Linked DNA regions of Caenorhabditis elegans. The protein of the gene in region 3 interacts with the protein of the main gene of each other region in a pairwise test. Each region holds a gene or a part of one and is shown on either strand. Other genes may lie near its edges.

Region 1 (3,757 bases), on a different chromosome or scaffold from region 3:
TTCGTCTGTCAATCTATTTTTTCGTCTGTCAATCTATTTTTCGTCTGTCAATCTATTTTTTGTCTGTCAAGTCGTATATTAATTTTTAATTTTTAAAAATTATCAAGATCACCCAATAAAAAATGTGGTTATTTATATGCCTGTAGGTCAGTTTTTTTATTGAACTGGAAGCTTCTGGGAAATAGAACAATTTTGTGATTAAATTCTGAAAGCACTTAAAACTTGAAAAAATCTTTTATTTAAATACTAGTACTGGTACGAACAGTACAGAACAAAAAATAATTATTATTAAAATCTATTAAAGATCCTCCAAAAGATAACTGCATCTAGGTTGATTATCCAAGTCGTCAGCTTCAGTTTGAGCATCTTCTTGATATTTTCCCTGGTCCTCCATCATTTCATTTTGCTTCTTCTGTTCATTCACATTTCTCTCGATCGATTGCACTCGATTCACAATCGGCTTCTGGATACCAAGAGCAAATGTGGCACGAGTCAGAACAAATGCACTATTTTGATTCAAGGATTGAGTCATTGCAGATTGTTTCAGATTGATAGCACCGGCAATTATGTCATCACAGAATTGAGAAATGAAGCCGCTTCGCTTGATTTGAGACCAGAAACTCATTGGATCTGGAATCATTTGGAAGTTTATTTGATAGGTAGAGGCAGTGAAACTCGAAAATATGCAAAAACTCCTTACCATTTTGCAGACAACTGTAAATATCCTGAGCTGGGCTGCACACAGGTCTTTCTGGAGCTGGGGATCTTGTTGAGAAAGCTGGCTGGAAGAACTCTTCAAAAACAAGCTGATCTTCTGATTCAACAAAGTTGATTTCCAGCTTTGCCTTGTTTTTCTTGCCTGCTGGACGCCCACGACCTCTTTTCTTGACTGAAAAAATAGGATTTCCTTAAAATTAAATGCACCATGATTTTTAAAATATTACTTGGCTCTTCACTAATTTGTCCACTACTTTGCTCCGTTGGCTCAGATGCATCATCTCCGGAAGCTAGAACATCTTCGAGGTGACGTTTGTTAACTGGAGCTCTGCCCGTTGAGTTCATGTAGTTGCGACTTTGGCACTGTCCATGACAGATACTCTTGTGATTATAGAAATCGATGGTTTTGTTCTCCAATAGTGTTCTGAAATTTAATGAATTAAAACTGGAACGTTAAGAATTAAACGTGGCTAGCAGTCCCAAGCAAAAGGTTACGATTAAGCCCAAACCTAAGCCTAGCACATAACCTAAAACCGAGGCCTAAGCCTAAGCATACGCCTGAGCCTAAACCAAAGCATACAATTTATTGATCTTTCTGCACTCACCTCAAGCTAACATTCTCCACACGAATACACGCCTTCCAGTCTTTCTGTCGCCCTTTTCCACCAAGTTCCGTAAATTGTTTCGGAGTCAGATACTGTGCTGAAATTCCAGAATAAATTCATTCTCTCACATTATAAAAGCCACCATACATTCATATTCGATGCAAGCCTGACGAATTCCGGGGCACCTGAACAATTTGAGATGCATAATTCCTTTGACATATCCACAGGTAACCGGCACCGTGGTGGCATTTAGAGGTACAATTGGTGTCCAGATATGTTCAGATGGAGTATCCAGGTAAGTATAGCTGAGTTCCGATGCTTGCTGTAATATTTATTTGTTATTTTCGAATTGCTAATTGGAGCCAAAATGGCATTTTTCGTATCTCAGACAGCAATGTAGGTGCATTTGAAGTTTTCAAACTAAATTGAAGATTTTTTTCGAGCCAAAAAAGTATTTCCGAGACTAACAAGACTATTTCAATTTTTGGAAGAATTGTTTCCAAAAAAATTGTCTCAAAATTTCACATCCCAACTCACATCATACATATTCTCCTGAACGCGTCTCCCGTCTATCTCGAAATTTGGATCACTTGGAACCAGCATCTCTTCGTTTTTCATCTCACTGGTTGATCCGAACTCGGGTTGAGTAGAGAATTCGAAATCATCGTCGTCACACATTTTTCAGGTAATCGATGAATAAAGATGGGCGACCCGACGCGACACGATAATTTCTGACACGCAACTAGTTTTCCGCCAGCTTGGATCTGTTGGCTTCTCGCGTGTTTTTGAATATTTTTAAAATAAATTAATGATTTTTTTTTTGAAAAGTTAAGGCATTTCAATGATCAAAAATATCATTTATACTGGAAAAATTGCAGAGAAAAATCCAAAAAGTATTGTGGTATCGTAAGCCTTACTAGGGACAAACAATATGATTATTAAAATAGATGACTGCAGAAAAATTAGTTTCGGAAGAGCATTTTGAACTAGCAAAAAAATGTTTTTCATAAGAGTTTTTTTAAGTTCTTGCGAGGCCCGGTAATTTGCATGGAAGCTTTTTTTTTGAAAAAAAAATCAGCTTCTAAAATTGTTTACCCAACTAAATTCAAAAATTTCCAGATTTTTTTCCAGTACGTTTGTTGTGAAGAATTACACAGAATTCAAAAAAATGCTCTGCAAAATTATTTGAAATGGGATTTTTTCTGAAACATCCGGTGTTAAACATTTTTACTATTTTTCTGTTACACAGGGTAAATCATCCTCCACGCCATCCCATTACAATGAGCACTGTATTTGAGCATATCCACATTCCATTAAAAGTGGTGGGTGACCCGGACTTGTACTTTTACTTTTTGAAACCGCAATTCAATGATCTAAATACCCATGAGAGGCCCGATAATGAAGGTGATTTTATACTTTTTAACGAACAACGATTACCTCATTCGTCATATGACTGGAGCCTGGAGCTAGCTACAATTTTTACATTTAAAATGTTTTTTTTTGTTTTGAAAATTAACTGTTTGCTTGTTTTTTTTCATGTGCAGTGGAGAAACATCTGGAATTAATTTTTAGATATATTTTTATGTTCTAGCTAAGATATGATTTTTTTAATTTTAAAATATTAATGGGTGAATAGGGGAATACCTATTCAATGAATTGCGGCTGTGCATGAAAAATCGCGAAGTGGAAGTTATATATTTTAAAATTTATGAAATTTCCTAAATTTTCAAAATTGTTAATTGAGCAGGCGACATTGATTGTGGGCTCCATCTCGGCATATCCAGGGTACTTACGCAATACTGGCTAGTTTATTGTAATGGTACGGTACAGTAGCGTTACTAAAGCAAGCTCTTCTTGTTTTTTGACTGAAATACTACAGTTAGGATCCACGCCCAAAAAAACTGAAACTCTTTTTTTGCTCATTCCCAGTATCAAAAGTAACAAACTTTAATATGATAGTATCTTATTTTGTTTTTGTTCAAATAGATGGTTGATATCGTAAAAGCGATAGTGGGAATGCTTGTTTTTCAAGTTTTAGTTTCGAATTTGGTTGTTACAAAACTAAGGTATGATAAAGATGTTCTGCTTTACTTTTTTGGCCAAAAAAGTATCAAAAAAAAGTTTGAAACACAGATTCCCACCACTTTCAGCCTGTCTTAGAACAAATTCCATTTTCTCTTGCTGATAAGCTGTCTATGAGAGAGACACTATTTACATTACCTCAATATACTTGCCATAATGTTACTTGGTTTTGAAACTTAATGAATCATAATACGTTTATTGTTGCATTGAGTCCCCCCTTTCAAACAGGCGGTCCCCCCTACCTTATGTGTCCCTCCCCACCAGCCGAACCTCCAATCGTCTACAACTCCATTCAACTTTTCTTCGTCCATCTCTCTGTCTTATCGCATTTGTCCTCTATATGAGACACACTT
Region 2 (3,757 bases), on a different chromosome or scaffold from region 3:
AGAAAAGGTGTGCGCCTTTAAAGATTACTGTAGATTAAAACTTAAGATTCTGTCGAATTATTTTATAGAAAGAATTGGAAACATCAATAAAAAAATCCGGCAGAAATCACAGTTTTTAATTACAGTACTCTTTAAAAGCGCACACCTTTTCTCATTCAACAAAAATTGTCGTGTCGAGACCGGCTACCGTATTTTTGTTGATAAATCGCAAATTTCGCGTTTTACCTCATATCTTCCCGTCTTGTTTTCCTTGATCTTTCTGTAGAAGAAATTAAGAAACTGAATATCTGAAATTTCGATTTGTTAACAGTTTTTCCTGTAAAATAAACCTTTATAAGCCGCTGTAAAATTCTTCATTCTCGAATCGTCCAGAAATAGGAAACCATTGTGGCTCACATAGTAAAAATATTCTCTGAAAACTCAAATTCAAAAAGAAACAATTAATTTAAAAATAAAACCTTATTTTTCCGTTATACTGCCCCTGTGTGTAGAGACTTCGTGCAAATGTCAGTATCATTTCCGAAACTTAAAAAAGTTAAATTTTGATTTAAATTAATTTGAAAAGAAAAGCTGACTGGTAATATTTCCGTTTCTCATAAATTCATATTCAAATCTTTATAAATCAATCAAACAATCTACATTTATTCACTTTCTGAATGGAATAAAAGAACGCAACATGAAAAAGAAAAAAAAGTTGTTACGACGGAATAAGAAAACTCAACACAATTCGTTCTAAAAAATTTCATTGAAAAAGAAAAGATTGACAGCGTAGAATTAGAAGAGACGGAAGTCGGACTTCTTTCCTTGATCCTTGTCGAATTCTGGGTCTTGTGAGACCTGAAAATATAAAATTTTAATTTTCGATCCAGGATTCTCTCGTAGCTTCTTTTTTAAAATTAAATCTTGAAAGAATATTTACCTTCTTGTAGTATTCCCAATCCTTGGACAATGGCTTGTCACCCTCGAGTGCTGACTTGCTCATTTGGAACTCATATGGTGGCTCATAGTTCTTCTTGTCTTGATAGAACATTCCCTTCTTCCAGAATGAATAGTCAAACTCTCCATTAGCAAGTCGTGCTTTATGATCAGCAAGCTTAGCTGCACGCTCATCCATAATCTCTGGATGACGTCGTTCCCAGATCATTCGATGCTTCTGCTTCATATAAGCATCACGAACATCGGATTCTCCTCCCAACTCTCCGTATTTCATGAAGAAATTCAACTCATTCTCTTCCATATCCTCAATAACCTTGGCACATGGTGAATGATCAGGATTGTTGTAAAGCATACACCGATCAACACGTTGGCGGAGGGTTTGCAGAATAAATCCATCGACCATTTTATCAAGACGGTACTGCTCATTGGCTTCGTAGAAGCAGGCCTTGTCGTTCACTCCGCATTCGTCGATTTCCGGAACACGTGTAAGTTGACGGTGATAGTAGGGTAGACGGTTCTTGTTGTTGAGTGGTTGCACAATAGTCTCTGAAAAGCTGACGAGTTAGTAGAATAGATTAAAATGGATTGTTTTGCCTAGTTGATTTATTATGTGGAACTGCAACTACTAACTGTACATCAGCTTGAGGTAGTCGAATAACTTTGGTTTTTTTCTAGTTTAAAATTATAATTTACAGCAATGATATGGGAATTAGAAATTAACCTTTACTTGCACCACAAGTTCCCAAATTTTTTGAATCTGGATAAAACCGTAGACAGTATCAATTACTTGGAATTAAAACAAATGGTGAAAGTAAATAAACTTGAACGAAATTTGTTTTCTGTCAATTCTTACATTTTGTAAATGGTTTTAAATCTAATTTCAAAGCTGCTTCTTCTTTAAATGATTCTCCAACTTGAGAATTTTAAAAATTACCTCTGAACCAAGTTGCTGGGGCGTCGAAAGCCTTATGGGCATAATAACGGAATCGTGGGTAGATGGATCCTCGTGAATCGATATCACGAACTTTCCAGTAAGCATCCCAAGATGCTTTATCGTCAGCTTGACGTTGCTCCACTAAGCCTTCACCCATACTGAATGTCGAAAATTTTCCATTGTGAATTGAGAATATTGAGTAATAAATATTAAAACAACGAAGAAACGTTGAAAATTGAAATATTACATAGAACAAGACGATAAATTAAATTTTTAAAAAGTTCAACAACAAAAGGAAAAAAAAATCAACAATAGCAGGAATTACACTGAAAAATTAAAAATTGAGATAAAGATTCTTAATCACTGACAGATCGTGTGTAATTATTCTGAACCAGGGTGATAAGCTCATCTTCGTCAGTGATAAACTCTGATTTATTGATAATATCGTGAATCTTGATAATATCATCAGAAGTCGAAGCACTAATCCAGATTCTTCCGTTCATTCCAACAGTGATTTCGAATTTGAAGAACTTGCCAACAGTTTGAAGAATTTTGCAAGATGGGTTGATTAGTCGACGACAATGATTCAAGGAGACCTATAATAATTTTTAAATTTTACAATAAATAGTAAATTTCGTGTCTAACTTTGAACATGAATCCTCCATTTAGCTGTCCCATTCCACGTGCTCGTTTCTCGTCATCCACACAGGTAAGCTCTGCTTCAGTTCTTGGAGTTGTGTCGAAAACTGTTGCATAAATAATATCTCCAGTTTTTAGATTCGGCCTATTCCTTTTAGTAGCACCTTCGAAGTTAGTAAAGTTGATCATGGCGTATTCGGCAGTTCCTATGTCCAAACGAAAGAAATCACCAGTTTTTGAAGTGACAATAGCGATTACTCGGTCTCCTTCCTGTGGTATATATCTGAATTTAAGAAAAATTGTGATTTTAAATGTTGTTCGTGATCATTCTTACCTTTTGCTGTGAACATTTAACCAGACTTTTCCATCATCGTTGTGGAAAGCTCCAGGTTGAGTGGCAATTCTCGTTTGGCCACGTACACTAATTCCGTAGCCAATGATTGAGGAATCGCTTGAAGAAGGTTCATTGATAACGTCGCCAGGGAGATATACGGTCATTTCTGAAAATTGAATACTCAATGATGAACAAAATAACGTTTTAAAAAGTAGTGGCGAATAGAAAAACCAAATTTAAATACCGCAGGAGGAATAACGTAATAAGCTACGTTAATAAAGTGTTTTCAATGAGTATATTAACTGAAAATTGTAAATTTTTGCAATAAAATTAATCAAAAAGTGATAATATTTCGCAAAATAAACGGAAAAACTAGAAAAATAAGAAATAAAAATGGAGCGGCTGTTGAAAGTCTGCGACTTGACGTGACGGTGTTTGCGGTGTTGTATACCGTACCCATTGATTTTTATTTGATATGTTGGAAATTGCAATTAATATTAATTGTCAAGGACTAAAAGAAAAATAACACTGAAAACATAAATGCGTGGCAATTTTTTAAAATAAATATCGACACGTACACCGAGAAAAATTTAGTTTCAAATACAGTTCAACTGAGTTTTTAGTGGTCAAACTGGTTTGTAAATGGTATGTAATATAGTTAGGTTTTTTGAAGTTAAAGTTTTCCCATTCAGCTAGTTGTTGTTCTTTCCGGTATTATTGCCACGTGTCTGGCCGTGAAGCAGACAGATTTTTCCGTGCATATCAAAGGACAACTTGTGTGTGATGATGTCCCTGCTGCCAACATGCCAATGGACATTTTTTCTGAAGCACAAATGTGTAAGAGAGTTTGAAATCGTTCAACTGAATCTAAAATCTTTACTCTCAGTCAGATACGAAGATTTTATGGATCGATG
Region 3 (3,757 bases):
TGAATTTTTTGCACACAATTTGATTAAAGTAGTCTACTGAGTAATCTGGTGAAATTTCAGAAAATTTGTGGATCTAGTTTTTGAAAAAAGTTCAAAAATGTGCCATTTTTGTCGAATTTTCCTAATAATTGCCTAATAAATCGAATTTCCACTTTTATTTAGGAAAATAATCGTTGTTATATGTGATTTATCCATTTTAAAAACAATTTTGTATATATTTTTGCAGTTTTATCCATTATAATGTCTCATTCATCGAATTTCAATGATATTAAAAATTTAAATTCAAATTTCGCGCGCTTTGCAGCGGCCATGGCCTAGGATTCTCACTTTTCACTTTTCGCTAGGCCAGATGTCCCAATTTACACGCCGTGACACACAGTCTATATTGTAAAAATACAAACCTTACTACATATTCAGAAAATACGAATCCATTACTTGCTCTTTGAACTATTTCAAAACAAATATCATTTCCCTCCATGTTCTCAAAAATGATATGTCGATAATGAACGCTGTTGATAGTTTTTTCCAGTCGGCATATGTAAGGGTGCTGTAGATTTTGGCATATTCTAATTTCCTCGTCGATTTCTGAAAAAGAGATGGTTTGGAATGAAATAATTATATTTAGATCGGATTCGGTAAAATGATCAAAGTTCGAAATGACACATGATGGCTGATAGATTGATTGATGAATTGGGATTGGAGCTGCTGAGCTCATGAGATGAGAACTTTGAGGACATTTTGTGCGCTTCTGATTGGAAAACTGGTGGCGAGAATAATAATATCCGCTGCGGGGACTTTTTTTTTCTCAATTTTTAAAAGTGCACTCAGGTTGTTTTTTGAGAAATTTTTTATTCTTCAAAATCCACAATAAAGGTCAAAACATAACTTTAAAAAAAAAGTGTATTAACCACCTGAATTTGTTCAATTCGAAAAAAAACATCAAAAACTAATAATTCAGTCTTTTGTGAGACAGTGTGTTGAAACGATGACTTCCTGTTTTTAAAATGTTGAAACTTTTCTTTAACGGTCTCAATGGTATTTGGATGAAAACCAATGAAATTGGATATTTTTATTCTAATTAACTTTTTTTTAACTGCATTTGAGCCTCCTTTCGAAAGATATTAGTTCATCACTAGATCGATTAACATTACAAAAACCTATCAATTTTTGTAAAGACAAAAAACCAAAATTAAAAAAAGACTTTATCAAAATGGGAGAAAACTATTTTTGATACTTGTATAGTAGAGCAACTACAGCTACTACAAAAGTACACTGCTTCAACTTTTGAATTGAACAAATCATTTTAGTAGGTGCGTAGAATTTTTTTGGAATACGACTACTACATGTAGTCGTACCCCATGTAACAACTGTATAACAATAATTGTACCTTCAAATCCTAACCCGGTGTGCTGTCTGAACAAATTCAAATTGATTGATCTCAGTAAAAATTTTCGATTTGATGGTCCATGAAGTATTCGGTATACATTTGAAAATGGACCTCTGGAAATTCTTAGTTATTTCAAGAATTAACTGAATTTTCAAAAATCTTACTGTTCTATCACATCCCGGATCGACAGTTGTTCATCGAGGAGAAGGTTCGACTCGTCCGGGTCAAGCTCCCTCATTCTGTTTTAGCTGAAAAATGCTGATAAACGTGAATAAACAAATGATAAAGTTGAAGAAAAAAAAGAGATAACCAGAAAAAAACTCATAGGGACAGTGAATGATTATTAAATTGAAAAAGCATATCAGGCTCGCATGAATATTGAAATAGAGAGACTGGAGAGAAAATGGCAGTTTTTTGGGTCGGCGGCGGGGGGGGGGGGGGGGGCTCTACGCGTTTTCTTTCGGCCAATTTGATTTGATCGTTAGGAGGAGATATAATGTCAATAAATGATTGCAAGAGAGATTCATGTTTTATCAACCCCGCAACATTCTTTCGAGAACTAAAAAATTGAGGATTTGAGGTGGTACTTGTCTGATGGAAAATCTCATGTTGCGGTCTTATAAAAAGAGGTAAGCATTACGTCATTAATTTTAATGAACTTGAGTGCGTGGGGGACGGAAATCGTTAAACTTAGGATTTTTTCTTGTTTATAACATAATATTTTCTGCAAAATGCAAAATCAAACCATCCAATCTTAAATTATTGAAGCAGAACAACTATGTGAAAGAAAGTTTGATTGCGGCATGGCAGAGGAAATCAAGACAAATATGGACACTTTTCATCTTTTCCACCTCTAGTTTCCTATTGAAACGCGGCTGTATTTGTCATTTAGCAAACATTCCTGAATTTGCCGGAATAGTATCGTGTTTATTCAAAGTTGGCGGGTTAGCCAGATGTATTTGTAACAAAAACAGTAAACAGATTTGAAATCTTTTCAAAACACTAAACTTTAAGTTTGAGAGATGCTGAAAAAAAATTATTTGATATGAAAATCGTAATGTAATGTAATAGAAGCAATTACGTGCATGGGTTTTACTACGATCAATTACATAGAGAAACCTACATTTTGATTTTCCTACGTTCTCAAATGACTTGGGATCTAATTCTAATGCTCAAAACAATAACTCCTTTAAGGCTAACAAAGCCATTTTTTAAAGTTTTTTTTTTCAAACAATTTCGGTTTGCATCTTTTTCTGCATACTCTTTTTATTTCCGTTTCATACGTCTACTTAAAACTTTTTGAAAAATTCATTTCCATTTGGTGCAATAACTTCAACCAAAAAGTGTAACTATTCAAAAAATAATCGAGATTTATTTCAAGGAAATAACATTGAGCACAATAATTTCATAAAACTACCATTTTGTGCAGAGCTATACCAAAAACATGCTGAAAATATGTTTACTGTTAAGGTTACTACTAGTCTCAAATTTTTGACATATATATATATACTTTTATAATTTTTTTTTAGTTTGTCAGTTTATTTTAATCTGTATACACTAAACTCTTACACAATTTAAGTATTTCGCATTTTGTCACTACATATATTCCAGTTCACATTGAAGTTATTTGGAAGTTATTGCTTCTGAAATGCCCAATATATGTATACTCTGATTATACCATGGTTATTTTTTGTTTTTAATGGAACTTTTAAATTACTTATAAACTTTTATGTAATGGTTTTTACGTTTTTGTTTCAAAAACAATTTTAAATTGAAAAAAAAACTGAGTAGACAAAATTGAAACACCAACTATACATCCCAGTCTTAAACAACTATCAAAAACCGCGAAATATTAGCTTTGTGAAAAATTGGGATGCAAAAATGTTCAATTATTAGTCTCTCCATCGAATATTCAACAAATAAGGTGTTAGCAAAATAATGGGAAATAAGAAGAAAAAACAAATTTAATTAAAGAAGAAGACATAAATAACTACATAAAAAGGAAGGGATGAAGGAAAGATATTACATTTTTCTTTTTTTTTTCTTGGATTTGTAAGATATGACAAAATCTCAAAGCAGAAAGAAAAAACGAATAAATATGAAAAAAAAGAAAATATGAAGTTTTTTTTGACACCGGAAAAAAACTGGATGAAAGAGGCTCGACAAAGAGTAGAAAGTGGATGTTATCTCTCCCAGTCTCCAGAGATACACAGTTTTATGAGTGTCGGTTGGGTGAGTTTGCAAGATAAACACGATGAACACCTGTTTCTATGATGCACGGACGATGCAAAACAATTCATTGGATGATACAGCTCCGTCTTGATGGAGTCGATGGAAAGTGAGAGGAAGAAGAAAGAATTGTGGAAGAGC

Evidence for each region.
Region 1: the proteins of lin-2 (region 3) and gmeb-3 interact in a two-hybrid assay, tested with the Caenorhabditis elegans proteins (4 studies listed by BioGRID).
Region 2: the proteins of lin-2 (region 3) and ndub-10 interact in a two-hybrid assay, tested with the Caenorhabditis elegans proteins (3 studies listed by BioGRID).

The regions. Positions count from the first base shown.
Region 1 is NC_003281.10:3,766,791-3,770,547, reverse strand, and holds gmeb-3 (SAND domain-containing protein), read right to left. Parts: upstream 2,049-3,757; 5' UTR 2,001-2,048; coding exon 1,860-2,000; intron 1,645-1,859; coding exon 1,470-1,644; intron 1,420-1,469; coding exon 1,323-1,419; intron 1,142-1,322; coding exon 945-1,141; intron 890-944; coding exon 701-889; intron 631-700; coding exon 299-630; 3' UTR 220-298; downstream 1-219.
Region 2 is NC_003279.8:10,517,631-10,521,387, reverse strand, and holds ndub-10 (NADH dehydrogenase [ubiquinone] 1 beta subcomplex subunit 10), read right to left. Parts: upstream 2,029-3,757; 5' UTR 2,028-2,028; coding exon 1,871-2,027; intron 1,483-1,870; coding exon 920-1,482; intron 838-919; coding exon 775-837; 3' UTR 627-774; downstream 1-626. Other genes in the region: UPF0598 protein F59C6.12, read right to left, coding at 226-287, 330-412, 459-517; exos-3 (Exosome complex component RRP40), read right to left, coding at 2,227-2,466, 2,516-2,792, 2,844-3,007; nlp-4 (Transthyretin-like family protein), read left to right, coding at 3,486-3,488, 3,536-3,680, 3,730-3,757.
Region 3 is NC_003284.9:12,412,401-12,416,157, forward strand, and holds the start of lin-2 (Protein lin-2), read right to left. Parts: upstream 1,642-3,757; 5' UTR 1,626-1,641; coding exon 1,552-1,625; intron 1,501-1,551; coding exon 1,388-1,500; intron 586-1,387; coding exon 402-585; intron 1-401. UniProt on the Caenorhabditis elegans protein: May play a structural role in the induction of the vulva. May be required for the localization of signal transduction molecules (such as let-23 receptor) to either the basal membrane domain or the cell junctions.